2 linked regions of the Macaca mulatta genome follow. The protein of the gene in region 2 purifies or fractionates together with the protein of the main gene of each other region. This does not show direct contact. Links are inferred from orthologs where the notes say so. Each region holds a gene or a part of one and is shown on either strand. Other genes may lie near its edges.

Region 1 (14,983 bases), on a different chromosome or scaffold from region 2:
AGCCAGTTTTACATGAAGCAAAAAGAACTGGTGTCCAGTTTCACCAGTAGGTTAACTGAAGCTCTGGTTTTGGCTGTTTTATTAGAAATGAATTGATCACACAAAGCAGGGCATGTCTCCACAGCCCCAGCTGACTGGTTAAAAGAAAAAATACCCTCATCGACAATCACAATCAGTAGAGCCAGCTTAGTGACCAAGTCAGGATCCAAGAGGGGTTTCCAGAGAAGCTTCTTCAGGGTATCACCTTTAAAGCAGCCCATAAAACACTCTTAGCAAATAAGGAATTCATGTGTCACCTCTGACCTCAGCTATTGTGCTTCCAGTAGTGTTTTTAGAAAGATCGTTGTATATTTCTGTCATTGTTCCTTTTATTGCGTCCATCATCTGAAAGATAAAAACAGAAACAATTCAGCTGATCACTTCTTGGAGGCTTTTCCTGGAGACAAATACCTAAAATCTATCTGTATAAAGCAGAGGTTCTCAACTCAGAGCAATTTTGTCCCACATGAGACACTGGGCATTTCTGGTTGTCGTGACAGGTGCAGGAGCGAGGAGAAGGGGCTGCTACTGGCATCTGGAGGGTGGAGGCAGGGACGCTGCTAAACTTCCTACCTAAACCATGCTAAATGCACACAAGGACCCCGCACAAAAAACAAAAACCTTTGAGTCCAAAATCACCAGCACTGAGGTTAAGAAACCCCAATATTAACAGGGTAAAAATTTCCAAGAAATTTCATGTATTGCATTGTGGTGCCACTTCATAACCATAAAGCTAGTTTCCATACCCACATAAAGCTAGTTTCTATACCACAGTTTGGCTGAAACTGGAGAGGCCAAATTTGGCCCCCAGATGTGTGGTGTTTTTTTTTTTCGTTTGTTTTTGGTTTTTTTGTTTTTAAGGGAAGTCTCACGCTGTCGCCCAGGCTGGAGTGCAGTGGCGCGATTTTGGCTCACTGCTACCTCTGCCTCCTGGTTCAAGCGATTCTCCCGCCTCAGCCTCCCAAGTAGCTGGGATTACAGGCACACACCACCACGCCCAGCGATTTTTTTTTTTTTATTTTTAGTAGAGACGGGGTTTCACCATTTGGTCAGGCTGGTCTTGAACACCTGACCCTCAAGTAATCCACCCAACTCGGCCTCCCAAAGTGCTGAAGCCACCGTGCCCAACCCCCAGATGTCTTTTATTTGGCCAGCACGGTAGGTTCAAGAGAGGGATTACTGTTTTAGTTTTCATTATTTCCCCTTAAAAAACCAGCACCGTTTTACTGAGGTATATGCATATACTACACCATTCATTCATTTAAAGTATACAATTCAATGGCTTTTAGTACCTCAGAGTTGTGTATCTATCACCACAATCATTTCACAACATTTTCATTATCCCGTAAAGAAAATCCCACTCCAGGCCAGGCGCAGTGGCTCAAGCCTGTAATCCCAGCACTTTGGGAGGCCGAGACGGGCAGATCACCAGGTCAGGAGATAGAGACCATCCTGGCTAACACGGTGAAAACCCGTCTCTACTAAAAAATACAAAAAACTAGCCGGGCGAGGTGGCGGGTGCCTGCAGTCCCAGCTACTCGGGAGGCTGAGGCAGGAGAATGGCGTAAACCCGGGAGGCGGAGCTTGCAGTGAGCTGAGATCCGGCCACTGCACTGCAGCCTGGGCGAAAGAGTGAGACTCCGTCTCAAAAACAAAAAAAAGAAAGAAAATCCCATTTCCCCCAGCCTTAGTCTTCACTTCCCGGTATCCCATCCCCCCTCCCCCAGACACTGACAACCACTGATCTGCCTTCTGCCTCTCCACATTTGCTCAGGCTGCACATTTCATATAAATGGAATCACACAACTCAAGGTCCTCTGTGATTCACGCATCCGTGCTGCAGCAGGCAGCGGAACTTCATTCCTTTTTATAGTCCATTTTATAGATATGGCTGGTTTGTCATTTTAATGCCTTCAGTCAAGACATTGTCTTTGCAGTTCATTTCCCATATTCTTTTTCTTTAACTATCTGACCCTTGAAGGCATCAGCCAGTTGGTGACATCAGCTAAGGTCCATGAAGCAGGCACCCAGGGATTTTCTGACTATGTTCGTAGGATGAATTTCTCTTCTACCTCCCACCTGCCAGCTGACCCTTCCCCCATCACAGCAGAAAGAGGAGGGGACAAGAGATCAGGCTCTGTCTCAGGCCCGGCTTGACTGGTATGAAGCCTCTCCAGCGCCTTCTAGATGCCCCAATTCAGGGAGAAGGCGGGACAAAGAGCAGCCTCGTATCTGATGCCTCACTATCCATGGCCTCTAAGCCTCGGTTTCCCCACAAAAAAACAGGAACTGCATGCCCCCCGGTAGGGTGTGCACGAGGATTAAATGAAAAAAACCACGCAAGGACTGTGTCTCGTTACCTGCCATGGAGCAGGTGTTCATAAAGAAATACCCATTCATCTTATTTTTAAAGAAAAAGATATTCATACAAGTATGCAATTGCGTAATTGCTGCCAAGCCCCAAAATAGTAGGCCCAAATTCGCCGCAAAATGGAGTAAAATGAATAAAACCTCTGTTGAGATTTCCACGCTCAGCTTGCTGTGGAGTCCACACCAGGCCACTATCAGCGAAAACACTGTGCACTTTCCACAGCTTTGCAGCCTCCTGCACTTGCCTCCTTGCTCTGTTGCACCCACCGTGTCCATTTTAAAAATTACAACTAAATGGCTTTACAAGAAAACTTTAGAAAGTGGGCGAAATTCAATACATCGCTAATGCAATGGTCACATTCCATTTCAAAGATATCATGCATTCGTGGACTGCCTTTTACTCTAAACTTCCAAATATAGCAAAGACTTCAACATCAGTAAAGAACACCACTCTGCCAAAACACACAGAACTGCGTCTTCCACTCCAGGTCACCTCAGAGACAGGAAAAGTTTATCGGCTCCCAAAAAATGTCACTGTGTTCATTTTTTTTAACTTCAAAGAAAACACCTATCAAAAAAATCATTCCTGGACAGGCACGGTGGCTCATGCCTATAATCCCAGCACTTTTGGGAGGCCAAGGCAGGTGAATCACCTGAGGTCAGGAGTTCAAGATCAGCCCGGCCAACATGGTGAAACCTCATCTCTACTAAAAATACAAAATTAGCCGGGTAAGACGCCATCTCTTAAAAAAAAATTTTTTTTAACAATTTTTTAAAGAACAAAGGGGATGCAGAAGGTAACAATTAAAATGGTTGCAGGAGCTGAGAAAACAGCCTTCCTGCAAACCACTAATCAGATCCACTCAGCAGACCTCAGCTTTCCCATTCATGAGCAACAGCTGGGACCAAATCAAAGGAAGGTGATGTAAGGACAACGTAAGGTAGAACAAGAGATCATTCAGGCAAAACCAGACACCTACTTAAATCACTAACGAGAAAATTACCCCCTTTCAATTCTCTAATAATCCTACAGAATCCTACAGATCGCTTTAGCAAGAAGTCTCAGTTTGGTACTGTTAGGCCTTGAACACTTTCGTGACAACCTCCCCCGTGTTTTGTTTTGTTTTGTTTTGAGACAGAGTCTCGCTCTGTTGCCCAGGCTGGAGTGAAGTGGCGCAATCTCGGCTCACTGCAACCTCCACCCCTTGGGTTCAAGCAATTCTCCTGCTTCAGCCTCCTGAGTAGCTGGGTTTATAGGTGCCTGCCACCACGCCAGGCCAATTTTTGTATTTTTTAGTAGAGATGGGGTTTCACCATGTTGGCCAGGCTAGTCTTGAACTCCTGACCTTAGGTGATCCACCCGCTTGGGCCTTCCAAAGTGCTAGGATTCCAGGCGTGAGCCACTGCACCAGGCCTTTTATTTTTCTTTTTTTTTTTTTTTTTGAGACACAGTCCCGCTCTGTCCACCTAGGCTGGAGTGCAATGGTGCAATCGGAGCTCACTGCAGCTTCAAACTTCTGGGCTCAAGTAATCCTCCCATCTCAGCCTCCCTAATAGCTGAGACTACTGGCACATGCCACCATGCCCAGCTAATTTTTTTTATTTGTAAAGACATGACATGATCTCCATGTCTTGCTCAGGTTGGTCTTAAACTCCTGGCCTCAAACGATCCTCCCACTTGAGCCTTCCAAAGTGCTGTGGTTACAGCCACTGGCTCAAACAGCCACACTGAATCCTAAGAGCAGTTGCTTATAAAAGTCGTGTGGCAACAGTTTGTGGCATGAACATTTGTGATCAGCAGGCTTGTTTGAAATGCACAAAGCAACTCAAAGCCAGGTTAAGTGCACGCTGTCTAGGGCCTGGCTGCTATCATTCAAAGTCCAGCTTGGCCATTCACTAGTCTGTGACCCTAGACACACTGTGTAGCTTCACTGGGCTTCAGTTTTCTCATCTATAAAATTGGGGTGATAACAGTACCTACACTTCATCAATTTGTCAAGAAGACTGAGTAAGTAACATAAAAAAGTGCTTAGGACAGCATCTAGCCCAGAGTAAATACTATGCAGACATATTGCTACCTTATGTGGTGGGAAGGCTGCCGATGATCCCAACCTAGTACTATTTTGTGCCCATCTGTAATCCCCTCCCTCTGACCTAGCAACTTGCTTCTAATCAATGGAATACAGCAAAGGTAATGGGGTGTCACTTCTGTGATTGGCCTAAGTAAGCCTGTGACTTCTGTCTTGCCAGCAGGCTCTCTCCATTGCTGGCTTTTGAGACAGAGTTTCGCTTTGTCGCCCAGGCAGGAGTGCAGTGGCACAATCTCGGCTCACTGCAATCTCCACCTCCCAGGTTCAAGCAAGTCTTGTGTACCAGCCTCCTGAGTAGCTGGGACCATAGGCGCACACCATCATGCCAGGCTGATTTTTTGTATTTTAGTAGAGACGGGGTTTCACCATGTTACCCACGCTGGTCTTGTACTCCTGAGCTCATGCAATCCACCCACCTCGGCCTCCCAAAGTGCTGGGATTATAGGTGTGAGCCATAGTGCCCAGTCTCCATTGCTGGTTTCGATGAAGCAAGTTGCCATGCTGGGGAGGCCCACATGGCAGGGAACTGAGGGTGGCCCAGACCACCAGCCCTCAAGGAAGTGAATCTTGCCAGTCACCACCTAAATGACCTGGAGAGTGGATCCCAGTTGAGCCTTTGTGTGAGTCCCAAACCCTTGCAGACACCACGACTGCAACTGCAAGAGATCCTGAAGCGGAGAGCCCTGTGGAGCCGGGCCCAGATTCCTGACCCACAAACACTGTAGGATAATAAAGGTGTGTGCTGTTTAAAGTTGCTAAGTTTTGTGGAAATTTGTTCTGTAGCAATAGATAACAATTACACCTACACAGAAGCAACAAAAAGAAACATGACCAATGAAAACTCATTTGGGTAAAAAAAAAAATTCGTATATATTTCTCTCACCATTGAGAATTTAAAAAGATTCCTCTTCCCTTAACTCAATATAATAAAGCTTATTCTTTATCAGTAAGACTATAAGAATTTTAGAAATAGGCTGGGTGTGGTGGCTCACACCTGTAATCCCAATGCTTTGGGAGGCCTAGGCAGGAAGATCAGGAGTTTGAGACCAGGAGTTTGAGACCAGCCTGGGCAACAAAATGAGACCCTGTTTGCATTTTTAAAAGAGAAAGAATTCTAGAAACAACCATCCTCAATTATTTTCATCCATTCTCTCTGAAAACTAGAACTGTTTACTCATCAGTATTAATAATCTACTCATCAGTAAAGAGTAAATTATTACCTACTTAGTAATTTACTAAATAATCTCAGTAGATTATAAATCAATAGCTATTGTTAAGTTATTGATAATAACTGAGGCCAATAAAAAGAAAGCCCAATTATGTGTTAAGCACTTACTGCATGCCAGGCACTGTTCTAGGCCTTGGCAGTAAGCAAAACAGACCAAAATCCCTGCCTTTGCGGAGCTGACATTCTGATGGTTATTATTACTAATGTGGTCTAATGACAAGGTACACAGTACATCAGTCCAGGGCACTCTCACATGACGCTGAGAACCGCAGATGGTATCTACCTGAATTCAACAATGACCATAAAAGCACTTGGCAGGCCGGCCGTGGTGGCTCACACTTGTAATCCCAGCACTTTGAGAGGCCGAGGTGGGTGGATCACCCGAGGTCAGGAGTTTGAGACCAGCCTGGTCAATATGGCGAAACCCCATCTGTACTTTAAAAATACAAAGATTAGCCAGGCATGGTGGCACATGCCTGTAGTCCCAGCTACTTGGGAGGCTGAGGCAGGAGAATTGCTTGAACCCAGGAGGCGGAGGTTGCAGTGAGACAAGATCGTGCCACTGCACTCCAGCCTGGGCAACAGAGTGAGACTCCATCTCAAAAAAAAAAAAAAAAAAAAAAGCACTTGGCAAATTAAGAGAAAAAAAGAAGGGGCCTGTGCTGAGACAGTGACCATGAGTTTGCCCACAACAGGCAATCCTGCCCACCAGGCCACTTAATAGGGACTGTGCCCCAGAGGGCAGGAGAAGAGGGAGAGGGGGTCCCCTCGGTCCCCCTCCTCATCCATCTTGATTCCTGGAAAAATTAAAGTGTGGGCTTTCACCTTGCCAGTGTCATGTTTAAGACTCTGTCACTTCTGCTCCACATGCAAAGCTCTAAATGCAAACCCAACCCCTGGTCAGTTGTTCACTGAAGGATCAGTCATGTGTTCCAGTGCCTTTATAAGTGACTTGAATTCTCGAAGGTAATTCTGATTATATGTCATTTGCACTTCATAAACTGACTTTAGAATCTAAGCCCACTTGGATTAAGATTCAGTCCATTCCAATGTTTCTCTGTTAGACCCAAATGAAAGAATGTGGTCTTGGAGATTCTGTTTAAAAAATAAAAAGGGTCTTCCTTCCTAAACACTCCCTAAAGCCTACGAGGTTAAGACGCTCATGCTTCCCCTTGCAAGGCCAAGGTTCTGGCAACCTGCCAGATGCCTGCCGTCTCTGCGGCAGCTCTCCCATCCACTCACTTTGCTAGTGTACTTGGCAATATCAGCGGCGACATCGGCTGAGGCGGTGGCGATGGGCAGGTCAGCGTTCACTGAGGACACAAGGGTGCTCGTGGACCCCGAGCTGGTGACCAGGGGCGATGACTGTGTGCTGGTCACCAGGGTGATGGTGGCCGTGGACGGGCTCTGTGTGATCTCCTTCTGCTGGACAGCTAGGAAGGCAAAGCATCCTGATTATCCCACGTGGGAAGGACCCGTCCCAGCATAGAGCTGTGGTGTAGAAGCAAAGCCCCTAATATACGTCCTGAGAACTTTTCTACTTTTAAATGACAAAGATGCTCCCCTTGACCAAACTCTATCCAGGTTTCTCGACTAGGCCCTAACCTTGGCCTGGAAAGACTTGAGCAAACACTGACAGTTTCTAAGAGCTCAAGAGTGCATGCTAGGATGACCCCAACCCCCACTTAAAGCACCTGCCTGGGAAAACTCAATGCTGGCAAAAGAACTGACAGTTTTCTTCCAACCAACACCTGAAGACAGGACTTCAGCATCCCAGTCTCTATGGGAGAGTAGGGGCCCAACTTCATGAAGTGCCCGTTAGCAAATCGAGATGGGTTTCACAAAGACCAACCCCTCATCTTGCTTCTGTGATGTTTAACTTCAACGACTTGCTCCCATCCCTACTCCCTCATTCTCCCTTTAAAATGCCCAGTCACCTCTGTACAAATCAAAGTTAATTTCAGTTTATGTTAGACTCTTGCCCCATTACAGTAGTGTATTACCGATTTAAATCTGTCTTTACCCTTTTAACTAGGCCCTACTTTGGTGTAAGACTATCTGAAGCAATGAGCCTCTTTTTGGCAGCACTCTTTTTTGGTTTTTTTTGTCTGTTTGTTTCTCTGGTTTTTTTTTTTTTTTTTTTTGAGACAGTCTCACTCTGTTGCCCAGACTGGAATGCAATGGCGCAATCTTAGCTCACCGCGACCTCCACCTCCAAGATTCAAGGGATTCTCACACCTCAGCCTCCTGAGTAGCTGGAGTTACAGGCATGTGCCCAGCTAGTTTTATGTTTTCTTTTCCATTTTAGTAGAGATGGGGTTTCACCATGTTGGCCGGGCTGGTCTTGAACTCCTGGCCTCAAGTGATCTGCCTGTCTTGGCCTCCCAAAGTGCTGGGATTAGAGACATGAGCCACCGCGCCCAACCCTCTTCTTGGTAGCAATTAAACTCCCCTGGGGAAGCCTCCTGCTTACGAGATATGAAGACAGAAGACAGGAAGCAGCAATCCCAATCTCAAATATCCTAGACTTGGCTTTGCCCCACCAACTTTTTAAACAGCAAGATTACTCCAACTGTACTCTCAATTTTGCCTGGCCAATTTTTCAGGACCCACTCCCTTGCCATCTTTGAAGTGTTTCACTGGGGGCCAATTCAAGACCTGGCCACCTTTCAACCTCACGTCCTGCTGCTCACGAACCCCACTCACAGGGGCGCACTCACTATGAGCTTCCGTTGAAGAACCCAGCCTTTGAGGATCTAGATGCAGGTTTCCTGATAGAAAGAGATCTACATCAATGCTCACAAAAGCCAGACAAACTGGTATCAACCAGTCAGATCAGCACTGTGTTTGGCCTAATTTCAGCTCCAGATGGAGCCTCCTGTAGGGCTGGTGGGAGTTCTGATTCTGCAACTTCAGCAAGTGGTTCTCGAGGCTGGCTCATCTTTTGTGCGTGACGAATTTCCAGTTACTAAGGTAACCTTCGCTATCAACTTCTCGCACTGTACTTTTTCCAAAATAATTCCAAGAGGTTCCCTCATGTGTACAAGGAAATTTATACAAAGATATTCACTGCAGCACTGCTCACAGTGGAAAAAAAACTGAAAGCAACCTAAATACCCATCAGGAGGGGAATGCTTTAAATAAACTATGGAATACTACGCAGCAGTCCGAAAGAACAAGGCAGGGCTGTATGTGCTGACATGGATGGACCTCCAAAACATGCTAATGGGTGGGGGAAAAAAAAAAAGCAAGTATGGTACCATTTTTACGTTTTAAAAAAGAAAAAAAAGGGGGGGAAAAGGACTAATTTTATGGCATCATATACATGACGCGCACATATATACATACAGATATGTATATATACATATACATGCATACATGCATAGAAAAGCCTTTACAACGGTTGATACTGGTCACTGTGGAAGGGAGAGAATGAAATGGAAGGTAAACGGGACAATAAACTTTTATGTAAAACTTTCTGCCCCCCTTTTAAGGAGAATATATGCATGTATAATTTATAAAATGAACAAAAAAACTTTTCGAAAGTAAAAAAGCAAGTAGCAAAACACTTTTTAAAAATAATGCCAAATGAAATGTGCAAGGCCTTCAAGATACAATGGCCAGGAAACAAACGAGAACTAAAAAAAAAAAAAAAAAAAAAACAAGAGAGCAATGACTTTCTCCTGTCGATGTGGCAAAATGGGAGCGGGCGCCACGGAGAACAGAAGGGGAGGCTCGGTACCTTTCACAGCCTGTCTGGTCTGATATCTCGTCCCCTGGGAAGACTGAGGCTGCTGCTGCTGGTTTTGCTGCTGCTGCTGCTGCTGCTGACGCTGCATCTTCTGCATGTGCCACTTTTGGGAGGACGTTTGAAACTTACTTGATGAGTTCCACACGACCCGCTGCACGGCCGGGGCAGTCTCCTTCGGTAAAAGCGGCCTCTGCTTTTTCACCGGGCTTCCTGTGGTGGCGGGGGCCGGGGCCGTGACGGTGACCGTGGAGGACGTGCTGGTGGTAGCTGTGGCGCCAGCCGCGGGAGTTTGGGCGGAAGAGCGGGTGAGCACCGGCGTTTCCGGGGGAGACTGGCTGCCCGCCGTCGTGGATGGTGGAGCTTTACCTACAACTAGCCAATGCATGAAGAAAAAACAAACAAAAACCGCGATTTCACTCAGGTTCGCCTGCAGGGTCTTGACGCCAGCAAGTTCTGGGTAAAACCTACGAAAGCCAGGAAAGCCGAACCAATTCGACGTGCCACGCACACCGCGCTGGAGGAGTACAGTCTCACCTAACGCTGAGGCCACTTCTGCTGCGTCTTCCATCTCCACGAGCACCGGCCTCCTTTACTGAGCGCCGGCTCACATCTGAGATACAAGTCAACACCTCTGGGGGCCAATGAGGCAAACAAGACCCGGCTCCTATGCTCAAGCTCCCCTACACCTAGTGGACAACGCAGTGGGCGAACAGATTCAATCTATGTTCACGCCCTTTTCGCAAAGTTAAAATCTAGTTGGCACCTTGAGAGAGGCCCAGCGGAAGTGAATCGAGAGATGAACAGAAATTCTTTGGCTAGAGAAGGTAGAAACCAATACTCCAAAGAACCAGATGGCCTCCTAATGGTCAAAGAAGTAAGTAACACTCAATCACCCAGAAAGAAAAGCATTCTTTTTATCTCTTCTGATTCCCTCCAGGACAAAGTCTGAAGGCGGTACTGATAGCCATGACAATACCAGGAACATAAATTCTGCCCCAAGGCCAGAACCTTCCCCCAACGTAATGGTACTGATCTAGGATTGAGTAGCATTGCTTTGGTTTTGATTGGATTTATTCCTGTCACCAGCTTTTATGTATACTGTGCGCTACTGTTCTTATTGGGTGGTGTTCAAGTCTAAAATGAGTTTTATACTTGCAGATGGTTTTTTCAGGGGGAATTTTTTTAATAAAAAAATAAATTGAGGCCAAGCATGGTGGCTCACGCCTGTAATCCCAGCACTTCGGGAGGCTGAGGCGGGCGGATCACCTGAGGTCAGGATTTTGAGACTAGCCTGACCAACATGGCAAAATCCCGTCTCTACTAAAAATACAAAAAACTTAGCCAGACGTGGTGGTGCACTTGGGAAACTGAGGCAGGAGAACTGCTTGAACCCGGGAGGCGGAAGTTGCAGTGAGCCAAGATCACGCCACTGCACTCCAGCCTGTGAGGCAGAGTGAATGAAACTCCTTCTCAAAAAACATCACTAATAGGCTGGGCCCAGTGGCTCATGCCTGTAATACCAACACTTTGGGAGGCTGAGGTGGGTGGATCACAAGGTCAGGAGTTCGAGACCAGCCTGGCCAACATAGTGAAACCCCGTCTCTACTGAAAATACAAAAATTAGCCAGGTATGATGGCACATGCCTGTAATCCCAGCTACTCGGGAGGCTGAGGCAGAAGAATTGCTTGAACCCGGGACGCGGAGGTTGCAGGGAGCCAAGACCATGCCATTGCACTCCAGCCTGGGTGACAAGGTGAGACTCTGTCTCAAAATAATAATAAATGAAAAATAAATAAAGAGTTTATTTTATTTTATTTATTGAGATGGAATCTCACTCTGTTGCCCAGGCTGAAGTGCAGTGGCACTATCTTGGCTCACTGCAACCTCCGCCCTCTGAGTTCAAGCGATTCTCCTGCCTCAGCCTCCTGAGTACCTGGGATACAGGTGCCTGCCGCTGCGCCCAGCTAATTTTTTTTATTTTTAGTAGAGACGGGGTTTCACCATCTTGGCCAGGCTGGTCTTGAACTCCTGACCTCATGACCACCCACTTCGGCCTCCCAAAGTGCTGGAATTACAGGCGTGAGCCACCATGCCCGGCCTATTTTATTTTATTTTTTAAAGAGAGAGAGTTTTGCTGTATCACCCAGGCTGGGCTCAAGTGAGCCACTTCAGCCTCCCGAGTAGCTGGGACTATATGGGACGTGCTACCGTGTCCCGTTTTAAATGTGCTTAATTATATGTTTAAAGAATGAGATTCTTGGCCTGGTGCAGTGGCTCACACCTGTAATCCCAGCACTTTGGGAGGCCGAAGCGGGCAGATCACGAGGTCAGGAGTTTGAGACCAGCCTGGCCAACATGGTGATACCCCATCTCTATTAAAGATACAAAAAATTAGCCGGGTGTGGTGGTGTGTGCCTATAATCCCAGCTACTCGGGAGGCTGAGGCAGGAGAATCGCTTGAACCCAGGAGGCAGAGGTTGCAGTGAGCCGAAACCACCCCATTGCACTCCAGCCTCGGTGACAGGGCGAGACTCCATCTCAAAAAAAAAAAAAACACAGATTCTTTAAATAAAAATATTAAGTCAAAAATTATACAAGCAGGACTTGAGAACGGGAAAGACAATGAATGTGAATGACTCAAGTTTGAAAAATACTGCCATATGGAGTATGTCATCTTGGAAGAGCTGGGCTGGTAAGGAATAAAGGGTAGGATTTCAACAGGCGGAAAGTGAGAATCTAGAGGGAACAGCATCAGCCAAGATATGTGTAGGAACAGAAAGCATTTGGGTAAGTGAGGGCAGGCAAGGAGGAGGGGCTGGAAGGCAGGTTAGAGCCAGAAGCACTCAGCAGCAGGTAGAGGGGATGACCACATGGGTGCTTATTTGTAAAGGTGGCTCAGTTATGGATGCACAGGCCTCAGCCCCCAGTTAGGTGAGCCTGTGCTCCAGAGAGGATATCTGGGGAACACACACCACACCCAGGTACAAGCTAGCACCCCTGATCTTGGACTATGCTCCCTGACATCAAACTCCTTTAAATAAGGATTATGTCTGTCTTTTTTATTTATTTTTTTTTTTTTGAGACGGAGTCTCACTCTGTTGCCCAGGCTGGAGTGCAGTGGCGCGATCTCGGCTCACTGCAAGCTCTGCCTCCCTGGTTCACACCACTCTCCTGCCTCAGCCTCCAGAGTAGCTGGGACTACAGGTGCCCGCCACCACACCCGGCTAATTTTTTGTATTCTCAGTAGAGAAGGGGTTTCACTGTGTTAGCCAGGATGGTCTTGATCTCCTGACCTCGTGATCCGCCTGCCTCAGCCTCCCGAAGTGCTGGGATTACAGGCGTGAGTCACTGTGCCTGGCCTATGTCTGTCTTTTTAAGATCAGTATTACCCAGAAAAAGACATGAGCTTAATTACTCCAAGGATTTTCATTCAGTAAGCTGTGGGTTTTAAGAAGCCAAGGAGGAGAAGAGACAAGCTGACTATTCTGACTTCAGGGGGAGTTCTCGATGGTTATCACTTGTTGCTGGCCCTCCTACTTCCCCAGAGAGGAGAATCCAGCCAAGCTGGTCGACAAGAGCCCAGGGTGGGTCCAGAAGGAGGGCTTCCTGCAGTGAAGAACTCCGGTGCTTCCAGGGCCACCTGCCAGATATGGGGCACTGTCCCCACCTCTTCCAGGTGCAGATGAGGTGTTGAACTGGGCCCTTCTAAGAGGAGGGCACGGGGGCAGTGCCTTAGCAGAGCTTCTAGCCTGCATAAGTGCCTTCAATGCCTTTTTTTCCTGCCACATCACCAAAAAATATACTGTTATTGTTGATTAGCTAGCCTGTCTCCCCACTGTAAGGGCAACCTCAAAATGGTCGTTTTTCTCTCTCCTGATTTGTTCTCCTGAAACAGCCAGCAGGGCAGAGGGCTTACTGCTCTGCAGTGATCACAGCTGGCTCTCTGCCAAATAAAGAACTGGAGTATACAATCTGATAAGATTCCAGGCTCAAAATTGTATGGAGTTATTTAGATACCAAAATATCTAAATTTCTAGGAATCCTGATGGTTTATGGAGACAAAATGAGGCTATAGGAAATTTCATTTGTCCCAGAAATTTGGAGTACATAATCAATCACCTGTAGCAAAAAAAAAGGGCAAATTTTTTTAAAGGGTCAGCACCTGAGAAGCTGCCCTATCAAATTAACCTACTTATTCCTGAATCTGTCACTGGTCACTGTTTTTCATTTATAAAGCAACGACTTTTTAAGAGAAAAATTAGCATCCCCTTTGTAGAAGGATGGAAATTACTAATGTGCCAGTGAAAGCACAGCAGAGTCTTTCAGTGTACTCTCTTTGCTTCTGTTCTGAGGTTACTAGCTATAAAAGCTATTTTGCCATCTGAAGATTCATATTCTACCCATAAGCTGCATCCCTAGTGGAAGGTGAGCTGGAGGTCACAACAGCGCAATCCAAAATGCCCTTCACTTACTAAACTCTTAAGTGAAAACACATCATTGAAAAGATGCTCTCTAGCAGAGCCCGACATGAAAATTTTTCAAGACCCAAACCACCATCAGCTCTGAATTTAAGATCAATTGGTTTTGCCCCAAGCCTTAGGAAGCTGCTCTAACTGAACTGTGTTTTAGAATCATCTTCAGCTTAATTGTCCACTGTCCACTAAAGCTTCCTGGAGAAATTCCCTTCAGACATCAGTGTGAGGAAGAGCTCTACTTCTTTTAATCAACTAGAATGGTTTTTTATTTTTCGGAAAGTATGAGATCTTCTAAGGTACTCTGTTTCCCATTCTGCTTTCAGAGCCAACTTCCCTAACTCTGAAGGTTGAAATAGTACAGATTTCTGTATAAAACCTTTCCCCAGACCACTTGCTATTCTACTTTCACTTTCCTTTTACATGGATGTCTTTATTTTCATCTTGTTTCACATGGTTATGTATCCTTGTCAATCTGTTGCAAATTCTTTCTGGAAGAGGTAGGACGCATAAAACCAATCAATCAAAAGATCAGTTCCAAAAAGAAAGATCAGTATAAATATGTCATTTGTAGGAGCACTGCCATCTGCACCCAAATATTCCTACAATCCTCATGAAATAAATACTACTCCTACTCCTATTGTTCTCTGCAACAACAGAGACAGTCTCTCAAACCCCAATCCACGACATACTCATATTTTTCAGAGGCCATCTATAAATCTAACAGATGGGTCAGGATGGTTTGATGGCCTATCCTCCCTCCCTTATGTAACTGCATCTCTCTCTTCCTCCACTGCATCTCTCACGGACATTCTCTTTAGCTGAAATGCAGGAATCCTCTCTCACTCTGACAGTTGAGGTTCCAGAATTGACCATGGATGGTCAATTCCAGGTTGACCATAACCACAGCAGAAAGATTCTCAAGGCCCATCCCTGACTTGCTTTAAGCCACCAGACTACGGAAATCCCAAAGGACATGGAGTTACATCTTATTCAAGGGTTTGACTGACAGGTTAGCTCCTGATAGAAGTT
Region 2 (15,083 bases):
CCAGGCAGCGAAAGCACGTGTAAGCAGAAGTGGCAGGGGCAGCAGGCGGCTCAGTGGAGAGTGGCAGGACAGGGGCCTCAGCAGCAACTGTAGTAATGGCAGAGGAGGTGATGGCCCCCTCACCCTTGCCCAAGGCAGGCAAGACCAGAGGTCCAGAGATAGGTGGGACAGCTACAGGCAGCAGGGGTGTGATGTCCGGCTGCCCCACCATCTGGTCAAGGGCTACGGGCCTCATGACCAAATGTGAGCACTGCATAACGAGCCCCTTGTCCTTGTGTTCACGTGCATGCAGGAGCAGGCTGCACTTGTTGAAGAAGACCAGGCGGCGGGCGCAGTGGTTGCAGGTGACCTCGATGCGCATGCTCCGGCGGTCATAGTGCCGTGCCAGGCTCTTCTCCAACGAGAAGGCATCCCCACACTCCAGGCAGCGGTAGCCGGTGGGAGGCAGGGCCAGCCCAGCCTCAGCTGGTGGGCTCAGGTTTGGCCTATAGGCAGGGAGCAGGTTCTTGCTGTTGAGGATCTTGTTGAAGGCCTCCACCAGGCTGGACTGGGTCCGTGAGATCACTGTGCCGCCCCCTGTACTCGGCCCAGTAGTTGTCTTTGAAGGCTGCACCATCACCACTGAGGCACCATTCACCTTCTGTCCCCCAGTCCCCAGCCCTGCCCGCCCCTCAGCCTTAGGCAGGGCTTGGGGCACCAGGCCTAGCACATTCTTAGCAATCATCTTAGGGCTGGTGGCAGTCCCCCCAGGCAGCACCACAGCCTTGCGGGCCACACTGGCTGCCATCAGCATGGCAGTACTGGCATTCTGGATGGTGGCCACAGGCAGCACAGTGCCTTTCAGCCTTGTACCATCACCCAACTGTACGCTCACCACCTTTGGACCCTCAGAAGTAGGTGTTGCAGGGGACAGCTTCAAGAGGCTAGCTTCAGCCAAGAACGCCCCCTCAGCCAAGGGGGCAGGTGGATCAGGATCTGAAGGGACCTGAGTTACAGTCCTTGTGATATTCCCGCAGGATGTTTTAATGGTCTTGATCCGCACCTTAAGAGGCCTAGAGGAGCTGGAGGCAGGGGAGTCATTGCTGTCCTCATCTGCAGCCTCAGCCCCACTAGAGGGACTCTGGGGACTTCCTGGGGAAGACTTGTCCACTGGCCCCTCATCTTCTTCTTCTTTCAAGGGCTGACAGACGGGCAGTTTGGGGGAGGCAAGAGGGCTCTGGTGCCCTGGAGACTGCTTGAAGAAGGGCACCCCAGCAACTCGGGGAGGCGAGGCACTGGCAGGGATGTCCGTGGCCTCAGGGCTGGAGCCTGAGCCTTGTGCGGCTAGGCCCTGGGGTTGATGGGGGCTGCAGCTCTCCTGCTTCAAGGCCCCCAACGGTGGGGAAGAAACAGGTGGCTGCACGCCTGGGCCATTCTCCTGGGCCAGCTCAAAGGAAGAGGGGAAAGGAGGTGGGGTCATAGCCCCCTCCTGAGGGGGAGAGGGTGCAGAGGGAGGCAGGGGATCCGGGTGGTCCCCTGGCTCAGGGCCAAAATGAGCAAACAGGTCCAAGGGAGTTTTGCCTTCCATGCCTTTTTCTTTCCAGGTGCCCCCACTGGGAGGAGCAGGAGAGTGGGGGGTTTCTGGGAGGGAAGGTTCAGGACCCCCAAAACCATTCTGCATTCGATGAGGCCCCACAGGCCCTTCCTTAGTTACCCCAGCAGCCCGGGTCCCATCCCCTGCTGAGCCTCCAGCCAGGGCCTCAGACTGCTCAGGACACACAGTGTTCTTGACAATGACACTAACTACAGAAATGTCTGACGGTGGCAGGCCATGGTCAGAGGCCTGGGCTGGAACTCCAGGGCCATCCCCAGCTGAGGCTGCTGCTGTGTCTCGAGATTCACTTCCCACACCTGGTTCTGGCTTCCCTGGGCCTCCTGGCCCCTCATTTTCTTCTGGCCCAGAATGGATGGCTTCATTTGCATCAATGTCAGGGATGTCAAAGGCAGCAAGGAGGTCATCAAAATCAGGGGTCTTCATGTCCCCCATATCGGCAGGTCCCAGACCTGATGAAAACAGGAATAAGGAGAAACTGAGATGTCTGGAGATCCTGGAGCTCTTTCCTCAGCATCTCCATATTTATCCTCTCTCAGAACCCATATGCACTCCAACTTAGGTACACCTCCACCACAGCATGAATCCTACAGAGCTGCTAGGTTTGCCAAACCCTAAAATCAGAAGGTTAGTGTCCATACCCTGGCAGGCTCCAAAATCCAGAGAAAGCAGGAGAAAAGAGAGTTCTCAGAAATACAGGGAAGGGGCCAGGTGCGGTGGCTCATGCTTGTAGTCCCAGTGTTTTGGGAGACTGAGGCAGGTGGATCACTTGAGGTCAGGAGTTTGAGACCAGCCTGGCCAACATAGTGAAACCCTGTCTCTACTAAAAATACAAAAAACTAGACAGGTGTGGTGGCGCATGCCTGTAATAGCAACTACTCAGGAGGCTGAGGCAGAAGAATCACTTGAACCCATGAGGTTGAGGTTGCAGTGAGCCAAGATCATGCCACTGCACTCCAACCTGGACAGAGTAAGACCCTGTCTCAAAAAGAAATACAGGGGGCCAGGCACAGTGGCTGACACCTGTAATCCCAGCACTTTGGGAGGCAGAGGCGGGCGGATCACGAGGTCAGGAGATCAAGACCATCCTGGCCAAGATGGTGAAACCCCGGGGCTACTAAAAATACAAAAAGTAGCTGGGCGTGGCAGCACTCACCTATAGTCCCAGCTACTCGGGAGGCTGAGGCAAAAGAATTGCTTGAACTCGGGAAGCGGAGCTTGCAGTGAGCCGAGATTGTGCCACTGTACTCCAGCCTGGGTGACAGAGCAAGACTCCATCTCAGGAAAAAACACACAAAAAAAGAAGAAGAAATACAGGAACAGGGGAGCTCAGTGAGCATCCTGGTGGAAACCAGCTCATCCCCTCCTGTGCCCAGCACAGAACCAAATAATCGATACTATCATTAAGGAGGATGATGTATATGATGCTCTAGGTTTAAGGGCTCATTCATGTCCACATGGAATCAATTCATATTCTTCATGGATCTTCTGGGGTCCACAGAGATCTGAAAGGCTATGTGTACAAAGGGGCAAGGCCGTAAGCCAAGACTTAAGAAATGATCCTCGTTCAGCTTTATCAGGGGCCTGCAGTACAAGCAAGTTTCTTCAGTGCCTTACTTTTGCTGTTTGAAAGAGGACACAAATGGCCGGGTGTGGTGGCTCACATCTGTAATCCCAGCACTTTGGGAGGTCAATCACTTGGGCCCAGGAGTTCAAGACCACCCTGGGCAACATGGTGAAACTCCCCAGGCATGATGGCACATGCCTGTATTCCCAGCTATGCCTCCCAGCTGACATGGGAGGATCCCCTGAGCCCAGGAGGTCGAGGCTGTGATGGGCCATGATCACGCCACGCACTCCAGCCTGGGTGACAGAGTGAGACCCTGTCTCAAAAAAAAAAAGAAGAAAAAGAAAAGACAAGACAGAGAGCACAAGTGATCTATATATCATAGGGTTATTCTGAGCACAATACGAAATTGCTAATGTAAGAATCACACCGAGAATACGATTCACTATTCCAGATGAACCAAGCAAGGACATGTCAGGTCAAGGAAGAGCTGGAAAGGAATAACCCCTGGAACTCTAGGGCTGGGGTCGGAGGCAAGAGTCAGGGGTCATGCAGGATCAAGTCTAGGGCACCTGGGGCCATCACTGGCACCTGGAGATCTAGCTTGGTCAGCAGGGAGAAAAGGACTCAAGGAAATTACCCAAGAGACCAAGATGGAAAAAATAAGACACAGGAACAGAAAGAGACAAAGAGAAGAGACAGAGGGGAAAATGGTGATGGCAGCCTGGTCACAAGGGCCCCAGCCTAGGCCTCTCCTGTCACAAACACCTGCTGCTCGCTCACTACCTTCCCCAGAGTGCCTGGCCCTCCCCTAGCCAGCCCCTCCTTCACCACCCCTCCGCAGCTTGCTCTCTTGAGGCTAAAACTCCCAGGGTACACACTTATCCAGCACAGCTGCCACAGTGGGGAAAAGCCAGGCTCCTTCACCCCTCACCTATCATTTCTGCTCCGAGCTCCTCACCCCATTCCATTCCCTAACTTAAACTCCTCACCCTTTCCATTTTCCTGTGGCAACAGTAGCCCAGGAAGTTTCACCTAACCTCAACCTAGCCAAGTGCAAAAAATAAAATTTAAAATCCCACAAGAATTATGTGGTACTAATCGAACATGCAGGCCAGCTCAGAGTTTGTGGGAGACCCATGTCTGTCCCCTGCCAGTGCCTCCCCATGACTGTTTCTGTATCTACGAAGAAGCAACTAAAGAATCTATCCCTATCCATTCCATGCCCAGGTTGCAGGCCATTTCTCGAAGCCAGTTCTCCCACTTCTCTCCAGCCTTCATACTGTAACTAGAGACAGCCGCAGCATGTGGCAGCTGGAATTCCTGGGACCAAGGTGGGGTGGGGGCAAAGGATACCAACCAGACAAAGGGGGAGTCCTTCCCTCACTCCCACCCTATTTAATTCTGCAGACTCTGGGTTTAAACAAAACCCCTTGTCTCTATGGGCCTGGCTCCTAAGCCTGGCTCCCTCCTGATCAGAGGCCTGAGCTACCTTCCATTCAGGTACTCAGAAGTGGACTGGTACAGGGAAGACCAGCAAAGACTAGAAAACACCTGTGAACTCACCCGCACACCCCCCGCCGCCAGCCACCTCCCTCTTGGGAGTTCCAGTGACTTAGAGGTCATCCGATGGCCACCCACTCAGAGCAGTCGACCAAGCAAGTCGCCGAGCTCAAGGCCAAGGAAGATCAGGCCTTCCTGCGACTGCTGAGCCCTGTCTCTAGGGCTCCTATCTCCCCTGCCCCCTTTCCCTCTGTGCTTCCCCAAAAGCCAAAGAGGCTGAACAGGAAAAGGCTGAACAGACCCAGGTCGAGTGGGGGCTTCACTGCCCTTTGCCCGGGCCCAAGGCCTGCAGCGCAGAGGAGGGCGAGGGGCTGGCGGCGATTAGGTTGCGGCCAAGCTGGGCAGCGGGCGGAATTAAGTCCCTGCCATCTGCCGAGGGCCGGCGCGGGGAACAAGTCCTGGGTTGCGAGGAGGGGGCGGGGTGTACACAAGAGAAACTACAAGGGAAACTGAGGCGCGCGGCGCTTCTCTCACTCGCACCGGCGTGCGAAGCGAAGGCCGGGCCTCAGTCAGGCCAGGCCCTTTGGTACCTGCTGCGCAGCACCTGGGGACCCAGGACTACACAGGATGGGGTGGGGAGCTGGGAAAGAGGGGAGGAGAGAAGGGGCGGTCTCTGCGCGACTCTCAGCTCTCTAGCCGGGGTCCGTTCCAACTCGGACCTCGTCCCCTCGCCTCCGGGCGCAGCGGAACCTCCTTCCGCCGCGGACTCCCGGAGGCTCGCTAGAGACTGGAGACTGATCGGAGGGTGCACATGGGGCCAGGGGCGCAAGCCTGATTCTTGCCCGGGCCCGGACGCTGACCCGCGCCCAGTCGGGGTGCAGGCTCCGCTCCGGCCTGGCCCAGTCCCCCCGCCCCCATCCCCGGGAACGGACACCATTTTAGGTCGCGACATCCCGCAGCCTCCAATCTCCGGGCCGCACTTCGGGTGCCTCTCGAGCTGGGGGCGCCAGGACTTGGGGTTCTCGACCCTCCTGGGGGTTTACCCGGCTAGGGGCTGTGCTTTCAACAGGCCGGGAGTTTTGCCCATCCGCCCCAATGGATGGAGGCGGTGTCTGGGCCCTCCTAGAAGCCGCCCCAGGGGGCGGCGCGGAGAAGGGGGTAGTTGACCAAGTGGGGGAGGGGCGGGGGTATTTACCCGCCCCCCCAAGTGGGCGGAGCCAAGGGCGGGTATTTACCCCAGGCACGCTTACTTGTTCCGCTCCTGGTGCGGGCCGAGACCCGGCGGTCTCTACCCCACTCCAGCCGCTGCCGCCACCGCCGCCCTCCCCGCGGCCGCCGCTACTTCCTGCTTCTCTCCGGTTCAGCCTCCCCCCTCCCTCTCCTCCCTCCGCGCTCCGGGTCTGGGCTGCCCGCTTTCGCACTCGCCATTGGCCCTTGCCCCCTTCGCTCAGCCCTGCGCCCCTCCCAGCCCCGCACTGGGTTGGTCCTAAGTACTGCCGCTCGGAACTAGCCCCGCACAGTCCTCTTATGCTCATTGGGCAAGGGGCCGAGGCCCTCTGAAGATACCTCTCCCCATTGGCTGCGCAAGGGTCCGTCTGCCCCATCTGCAAGTCACGGAAACGATTGGCCTCCGCCACTGTCGCTTAGAAAGAAGCCAGCCTGCTTCCCGGCTTTCCTACTAGAGAGGGGAGCGCCCAGGTGCGTCTCCGCCCCTCGCTCCCTATTGGCCGCTCGAAGCTTGAAGCTGCAGTTCACTTTCGCGAATCGAAGGAATCCAGCTTCTGTGTGGTGGGCGCTTTGAGCAGAACCGCACTGAGTCGGAGTGCAGGACGGAAGTGTAGGTCCTTTTGCGCTGTTTCAAGCTAATTCCGTGTCACTGATGCCGGGCAGAAGTCACAGAATGGGACGCCACCCCAAACATTACGTCATCCGCTGACCATTTCCTCGCTGTCTTCCCACCGTCTAAATCGCCATATAATCTGATGGATGGGATCCTCGCACGGGCCAGCTCCTGGGCCACAGCGTAACCCGTCGCTCCTCCCTCTGCGGGAGGGCGTGGACGGGGTACGGGATTCCGAACGTGGAAGGAATCGGGACCTAAAGGTTGGGAAGTGCTCGCGGACCGGAAGCGGGGGAGGGGACGTTAGGAGTGCTGGCGTGGCCTGGGCCATTTCCAAAGAGGCCTTAAAGGGGCAACTGATAGGCTTCCTAAGTATGGGCTGGAGGTACCCCCCAGCTCCATTTCCCATTTAAGAGCTCCCCTTTTCCCCGCCCCCAGCAAGGAGTAGGGGGTGGGGTCAAGGTCGAGTTTTCCCGCGCTTTGTTGCCACGCCCCCTGCAGGCGGGGGAAAGGGAGGAGTCGCTCGGAAAATGAATCTCTTAAATGTTCTAATAGCACTGGCAGAATTCGTCTGCAAGCCCAGCGTGCCACCTCGCGCACGCAGCCGCTCGTTAACTGCATGGTGTTTTTTTTTTTTAATTAGTTTTTTTGAGGCAGTCTCACTCTGTTGCCCGGGTGGGAGCACAGTAGTGCGATCACGGCTGACTGCAGCCTCAACCTCCCAGGCCCCAGTGATCCTCCCCCCTCAGCCTCCTGAGTAGCTGGGACTACAAGAGACAGCCAACACGCCCGGCTAGTTTAATTTTTTGTAGAGACAGGGTTTTGCCATGTTGCCCAGGCTGGTCTCAAGAGATCCTTCAGACGTGAGCCACTGCTCCCTACCTTGGCGAAGTTTTTTTTTTTTTAAACAGGCCCTCATTCTGTAGTCCAGACTGGAGTGCAGTGGCGGGACCTCGGCTCACTGCAACCTCCACCTCCCAGGCTCAAGCGATTCTCCAGCCTCAGCCTCCCGACTAGCTGGGATTACAGGTGTGCAACACTACCCGCCCGGCTTTTTTTTTTTTTTTTTTTGAGACGGAGTCTCGGCCCTGTCACCCAAGCTGGAGTGCAGTGGTGCGATCTCGGCTCACTGCAAGCTGCGCCTCCCGCGTTCACGCCATTCTCCTGCCTCAGCCTCCCGAGTAGCTGGGACTACAGGCGCCGGCCACTACGCTCGGCTAATTTTTTGTATTTTTAGTAGAGACGGGGTTTCACCATGTTAGCCAGGATGGTCTCGATCTCCTGACCTCGTGCTCTGCCCTCCTCGGCCCCCCAAAGTGCTGGGATTACAGGTGTGAGCCACCGTGGCCGGCCATTTTTGTATTTTTAGTAGAGACGGGGTTTCACCATATTGGCCAGGCTGGTCTCGAACTTCTGACCTCAAATGATCCACCCGCCTCAGCCTCCCAAAGTGCTGGGATTACAGGTGTGACCCACCGCGCCCGGCAGGGTTTTTGAAAGTGGTTTTGTTACGCTGCCCAGGAGTCCCAGGACACTGGAACCAGGACTCCCCATCGAGCCCCGGCAGTTTCCGAGCTCCTTTGAAGTATGAGTCAGAACTTATGGATGGGAATCCTGGAGCCACCACTTGCCCTATGATGGCAATGGGCAAGTCGCTCAACCTCCCAGATCCTGTTTTCTCATGGGTAAAACGGGGATTATAATACCACCTGACAATATTATTTTTGTGAGGATTAAATGATTTTAGAATGTAAACGTGCTTTGTAAAGTAATTGGCAGTTGGGATTAGTGTGCCCTTTCTCCCGGAGACTTGCATCCTGTGTGCTCGGTCCGCCTGCATTTGCTCCCAGTCGCTCCAGCTCAGATGCTCTTCCTTCTCTGAGGACTATTTAAGGGTCCCTATGTAAGCAACCGGCATTCCGTTTCCACCTCCTCTTCTGGTCTTCCTATACGGAATAACAGTTACTACTCATATACACATAATATTATGGGGGACTCACACCTGTAATCCCAGCACTTTGAGAAGTCTAGGTGGGTAGCTCGCTTGAGCCCTGGAGTTCGAGACCAGCCTGTGCAACATAGCAGGACTCTGCCTCTACAAAATATTTGGGAAAAAAAAATTAGCCAGGGGTGTTGGCAGGCGACTGTGATCCCAGCTCCTGGGGAGGCTGGGATGGAAGGATCGCTTGAGCCTAGGAAGTCAAAGCTGCAGTGAGCTGGGATCGCACCACTGCACTCCAGCCTGGGAGACAGAGCAAGACCCTGTCTCAAAACACACACACACACACACACACACAAATAAAAACGTTATGTATATCATTAATAACTCATGCAATCCTTAGCACAACCATGGAAGGAGGTACTATTCCAGGTACTGGGGGTGCAGCAGTTAACAAAGCAGACAAGAAGCCCTGTCATGAAACACACATTCTTAAAGAGAAGACAAACAATAAATATTAGAACTGATAGCTGCCAAGGAATAAAATAGAGCTATCAAGCCATGCAAAGACAGAGGAATCTGCAGTGCACGTGAATAAATGAAGAAGCCAATCTGAAAAGGCTGCATGCCTTATGATTCCAACTATGTGACATTCTAGAAAAGGCAAAACTAGAGAGAGTAAAAAGATCAGTGGTTGGTTGCCGAGGGTTCAGGTGGAGGGAGGGAGATGAATAAATGGAGCACAGGGGACTCTAAGGACACTGAAACTATTCTGTATGATACTGTAATAGTGGATACATGGCATTATTCATTTGTCAAAAGCCATGGAATGTACAACACAAAGACTGAACCCTGTGAGCGTGGTGGCTCACACATGTAATCCCTGAACTTTGGGAGGCCAAAGCGGGAGGATCAACAAAAAAATTAGAAAAATTAGCGGAGTACAGTGGCGCACACCTGTAGTCCCAAGTACTCAAGAGGCTGAAGCGGGAGAGTTCCTTGAGCCCAGCAGTTTGAGGCTGCAGTGAGCTATGATCCTGCTGCCGCACTCCAGCCTGGGCAACAAAGTGAGACCCTGTCTCTTAATAATAAAGAATCCATATTGGTTCATCAATTGTAACAAATGTACCACACTAATGCAAGATATTAATGAATAATAGAGTAACCTGAACAACATGAAGAGACCCCATCTCTACAAAAAAACTTTTTTTAAGTGTGGCATGGTGGTGCACGCCTGTGGTCCCAGCTATTTGGGAGGCTGAGGAGGGAGAATCACCTGAGCCCTGGAGGTCAAAGTTGCAGTGAGGTATAGTCACACCGCTGCACTCCAGCCTGGGCAAAAGACCAAGACCTTGTCTCAGTAACAACGGGAAACTGGAGAGAGGATATGTGGGAACTCCCATTTTGTGCTCAGTTTTTCTGTAAACCTAAAAATGCTGTAAAAAATAAAGTGTTGGCCGGACGCGGTGGCTCAAGCCTGTAATCCCAGCACTTTGGGAGGCCGAGACAGGCGGATCACGAGGTCAGGAGATGGAGACCATCCTGGCTAACACGGTGAAACCCCGTCTCTACTAAAAAATACAAAAAACTAGCCGGGCGCAGTGGCGGGCGCCTGTAGTCCCAGGTACTCGGGAGGCTGAGGCAGGAGAATGGCGTGAACCCGGGAGGCGGAGCTTGCAGTGAGCTGAGATCCGGCCACTGCACTCCAGCCTGCGCGGCAGAGCGAGACTCCGTCTCAAAAAAAAAAATAAAATAAAGTGTTAATTTAAAAACAAAAACAATCAAAAAACAAAGCAGGCGGCTAGGTGCGGTGGCTCACACCTGTAATCCCAGCACTTTGGGAGGCCGAGGCGGGTGAATCACGAGGTCAGGAGATCGAGACCATCCTGGCTAACACGGTGAAACCCTGTCTGTACTAAAAATACAAAAAATTAGCTGGGCATGGTGGCACACACCTATAGTCCCAGCTACTTGGGAGGCTGAGGCAAGAGAATCGCTTGAACCCGGGTGGCAGAAGTTGCAGTGAACCGAGATTGCGCCACTGCACTACAGCCTGGGCGCAGAGCAAGACTCCGTCAAAAAAAAAAAAAAAAAAAAAAGCAGGGAAGGATGACAGTAAGTGTGGGAGGGTTGCAATTTTAGATCAGGTGGACAATGAAGGCCTTTCCAAGAAGATGGTGGTTAAGTAAAGGTCTGAAGGAGATGAGGGAGTGAGCCATGCAGCTATCTGGGACAAGAACATTCCAGGAAGAAAGAACAAGTACAAGGTCCTCAGGTGGGGAGTGTGTTCCAGAGTGGGTGGGAGGAGCGAGTTGGGTCATGGGATGCTTTGGAAGCTATGGGAAGTTCTTTGGCATTTTCTCAGAGTGGGATAGGAAGCCATCAAAAGGAGACAGATGACGTGGTGGCCTGACTTACGTTTTAAAAGGGTTGAAAGTGCGGTGTGAGAGAAAGAAAAGACTCCAGAGCTTGGAGGCTGAGGAAGTAGAAGCATGATATTGCCCCATTTCTTGAGCTGAGAAGACTACAGGAGAAGCAGGTTTTAGGGGTTAGGTCGGTAGCTCAGTTTTAGTCATGTTGAGGTATTACACATCCAAGTGGAGATACAAATGTAGGTGTCATCAGCTTATAGATAGTGTTTAAAACCCAGGTCAGAATGGATGAGATCACCAAGGGAGGACTGAGGCACGGGAAACTCCAAAGTTAAAAGGTCAAGGAGATGAGAAGAACAGCAAAGAGGAAGGAGGGAACCAGGAGAATGTTGTAACCTTCAAGCTAAATTTAAAAAGTATCTCAAGAAAGAGGAAGAGAGAATGATAGATGCCACTAAAATATCAAATAGGATGAAACCTGAGAATTGACCAATGGATTTAAGCAAAATGGAGGTCACCGGTGATCATGATAAGGAGAGATTTGATGGACTGGTGGGGACAAAAGCCTGCATGGAATGGGTTCAAAAGAATGGAGGAGGAAAAAAGAAAAGTCACTATAAAACTCTTTCAAAGGAAGGAAGGAGAAAAAAGATGGTAACTAGAGGAAAAAAAGCGACCAAGAAAGGACTGTTTCTTTTAATAGTTATCTCTTTTTCTCATCAGGTTCTACTGACCCAAGGAAAGGACTATTTATTTGAAGATGAAGAAGTTGTATGTTAGTACACGGGTGGGGAGGATCCTGTAGACAGGAGAAACTGAAGTAGCAGAGCGATAAGGAAAGTTCCTGGAACCATGTTCTTCAGAAGGTGAGCGAGAGGGTCAAGTTCACAAACAGAGGCATTGCCTTACACAGCGGCAGGAACAGTTCCCGAATAATAATTGGGAGAGAAGGCAGAGTGAGCGGGCATGGGTCGAGGGAGCTGGGGAGCTGTGGGATATCTCTTTGTTGTTTCTGTTGTCCAGTGGTATAAGAAAGAGCATGTGTTGTCAAACTCTATAAGAATAAAAAATCAAGATCACCCTCTAAGAGTGAGGATGATGAAGAAACTAGGAGTTTGAGGAGAAAAAAGGTAGGAAATACGCATTCAGGAGAGAGGAATGGACTAGAAGGGGAGATCAAGAGACTGAGAGGCCAGTGGCCTGGAAGACTCATTTACCTGGATATTTAAATCAACAGGAATGGGCCGGGTGCAGTGGCTCACACCTGTAATCCCAGCACTTTGGGAGGCCGAGGCAGGCGAATCACCTGAGGTCAGGAGTTCGAGACTAGCCTGACCAACATGAAGAAACTCTGTCTCTACTAAAAATACAAAAATTAGCCAGGCATAGTGGTGCATGCCTGTAATCCCAGCTACTCGGGAGGCTGAGGTAGGAGAATCACTTGAACCTGGGAGGCGGAGGTTGTGGTGAGCCGAGATTGTGCCATTGCACTCCAGCCTGGGCAACAAGAGTGACACTCCGACTCAAAAAAAAAAAAATTCTTGAACTTCATATATATAGAGAGTATGATTCCATTTATATATGTGTGTGTGTGTGTATATATATACACTATACATATATAGTATGATTCCATTTATATAAAGTTCAAGCCAGGCGTGGTGGCTCATACCTGTAATCCCAGCACTTTGGGAGGCTGAGACAGGTGGATCACAAGGTCAGGAGTTCAAGACTAGCCTGGCCAAGATGCTGAAGCCCCATCTCTACTAACAACACAAAAATTAGCCAGGCGTGGTGGTGTGCACCTGTAATCGCAGCTACTTGGGAGGCTGAGGCAGGAGAATCGCTTGAACCTGGGTGGCAGAGGTTGCAGTGAGCTGAGATCGTGCCACTGCACTCCAGCCTGGGCAACAGAGCAAGATTCCGTCTCAAAAAATAAAACAAAAATAAAAAATAAAGTTCAAGAACAGGCAAAGTAAATCAATGGTGATAGTAGCAGAATTGTGGTAACCATTGCCTGGGAAAGGGTAAGAGGAATATATATATACACACACACACACACACACACACACACTCACACACATTTTTTTTTTTTTTTAAACAAGGTCTTGCTCTGTCACCCAGGCTGGAGTGCAGTGGGGCAATCACGGCTCACTGCAGCCTCAACCTCCTGGGCTCAAGTGATCCACCCACCTCAGCCTCCCAAGTAGCTGGGGGTGCAGATGTGAGGCACTGTGCCGGCTAGTAGGAGGAATCTTTGGAGATGCACACATAGACCACCAGATTAATGGTGCGCACCTTCTGTTAATAGTACCCACCACCTTTCCTTGTTGCAGCCGTCTTCTGTCTCACCCTACTCTGTCCTATACTACTCCTATCCCCATTCTTGATTGTTATTATTATTATTTTTTTTTTTTTTTTTTTTGAGACGGAGTCTCGCTCTGTCGCCCAGGCTGGAGTGCAGTGGCGCGATCTCGGCTCACTGCAAGCTCCGCCTCCCAGGCTCACGCCATTCTCCTGCCTCAGCCTCCCGAGTAGCTGGGACTACAGGCGCCACCACCACACCCAGCTAATTTTTTGTATTTTTAGTAGAGACGGGGTTTCACCGTGTTAGCCAGGATGGTCTTGATCTCCTGACCTCGTGATCCGCCTGCCTCGGCCTCCCAAAGTGCTGGGATTACAGGCGTGAGCCACCGCATCCGGCCGATTGTTATTATTATTATTATTAGTCTTCACAAACCTTCTGTCTTTGCTTAAAATATATTGTTTCATTTTTCACATCTTTGCCATGGAGGGCAGTAATAAGTAATTGAGAACTACACACGAAGGGATGGAGAGAACCCTGGAGAAATGTTAGGATGAGCAGCAGAAGTCACCTACCTGTCCTTGACTTGCAGCAGGTAGCAGACCAAGCAGTACCCAGCACAACTTTGCACAAAATTTCGCTGGGCACTGAGGAATGCCTCAGTGGTGTAACTGCCATGCTCCTGTAGAAAGTAATCGAGCAAGGAGAGCTGTGACTGTTTCTTATTATTAGTCTCGCTCTCACCCAGGTTGGAGTGCAATGGCACAGTCTCAGCTCACTGCAACCTCCACCTCTCGGGTTCCAGCGATTCTCCTGCTTCAGCCTCCAGAGTAGCTGGGATTACAGGCGCCCACTGCCATGCCTGGCTAATTTTTTGTGTGTGTTTTTAGTAGAGGCGGAGTTTACCATACTGGCCAGGCTGGTCTCGAACTCCTGACCTCGTGATCTGCCTACCTTGGCCACCCAAAATACCGGGATTACAGGCGTGAGCCACCATGCCTGGCTTTTTCTTTTTTGAGAGAGGGTCTCACTCTCTCCAGGCTGGAGTGAGTGAGACCAGGCTGGAGTGCCCTGGTGCAGTCTTGGCTTACTGCAGCCTTGAGCTCCTGGGCTCATGTGATCCTCCCATGTCAGCCTCCCGAATAGCTGGGATTACAGGCATGCACCACCATGCCCAGCTAATTTTTTTATTTTTGGTAGAGATGGGGTCCCACTATGTTGCCCAGGTTGCTCTCGATCTCCTGGGTTCAAGTGATCCTCCCACAACAGCCTCCCAAAGTGCTAGAATTACAGGTGTGAGCCACCACATCTACCCTATTTTTATATTTATTTATTTATTTATTTTGAGATGGAGTTTCACTCTTGTTGCCCAGGCTGGAGTACAGTGGTGCGATCTCGGCTCACTGCAACCTCAGCTTCCCAGGTTCAAGCGATTCTCCTGCTTCAGCCTCCCAAGTAGCTGGGACTACAGGTGTGCGCCATCACGCCCGGCTAATTTTGTATTTTTGGTAGAGATGGGGTTTCACTGTGTTGGTCAGGTTGGTCTGACCTCAGGTGATCCACCCACCTTGGCCTCCCAAAGTGCTGGGAATACAGGCATGAGACACCACACCCAGCCCACCTGGCCTATTTATTAAATTTATTTAACAAACAGGGTCTTGCTCTATCACCCAGGCTGGAGTTCAGTGGTGTCATCATAGCTCACTGTAACCTTGAACTCCTGGACTCAAGCAATTCTCCCGCTCAGCCTTCTGAGTAGCTGGGACTATAGGTGTGTGTGACCACATCTGGCTAATTAAAATATATATGTGTATATATATAGTTTGTAGAGACAAGGTCTCCTTATATTGCCCAGGCTGTCTCAAACTCCTGGGCTCAAGCTATCCTCCTGCCTCAGCCTCCCAAAGCACTAGGATTACAGGCATGAGCCACTGTGCCCAGCCCATACTCTTTCATTTTCTAGGACAAA

Evidence for each region.
Region 1: the proteins of ZNF687 (region 2) and ZMYND8 purify together in Homo sapiens (affinity purification with mass spectrometry; 4 studies listed by BioGRID and IntAct, with this or other methods). This does not show direct contact. The link is inferred for Macaca mulatta from reciprocal best matches to the Homo sapiens genes ZNF687 and ZMYND8.

Annotation. Positions count from the first base shown.
Region 1 is NC_133415.1:100,034,171-100,049,153, forward strand, and holds part of ZMYND8 (MYND-type zinc finger-containing chromatin reader ZMYND8), read right to left. Parts: intron 9,851-14,983; coding exon 9,470-9,850; intron 7,161-9,469; coding exon 6,970-7,160; intron 385-6,969; coding exon 304-384; intron 1-303. UniProt on the Homo sapiens protein: Chromatin reader that recognizes dual histone modifications such as histone H3.1 dimethylated at 'Lys-36' and histone H4 acetylated at 'Lys-16' (H3.1K36me2-H4K16ac) and histone H3 methylated at 'Lys-4' and histone H4 acetylated at 'Lys-14' (H3K4me1-H3K14ac).
Region 2 is NC_133406.1:115,794,506-115,809,588, forward strand, and holds the start of ZNF687 (zinc finger protein 687), read right to left. Parts: upstream 6,792-15,083; 5' UTR 6,238-6,791; coding exon 6,228-6,237; exon of another isoform or gene 5,897-6,227; intron 3,105-5,896; exon of another isoform or gene 2,233-3,104; intron 2,044-2,232; coding exon 1-2,043. UniProt on the Homo sapiens protein: May be involved in transcriptional regulation.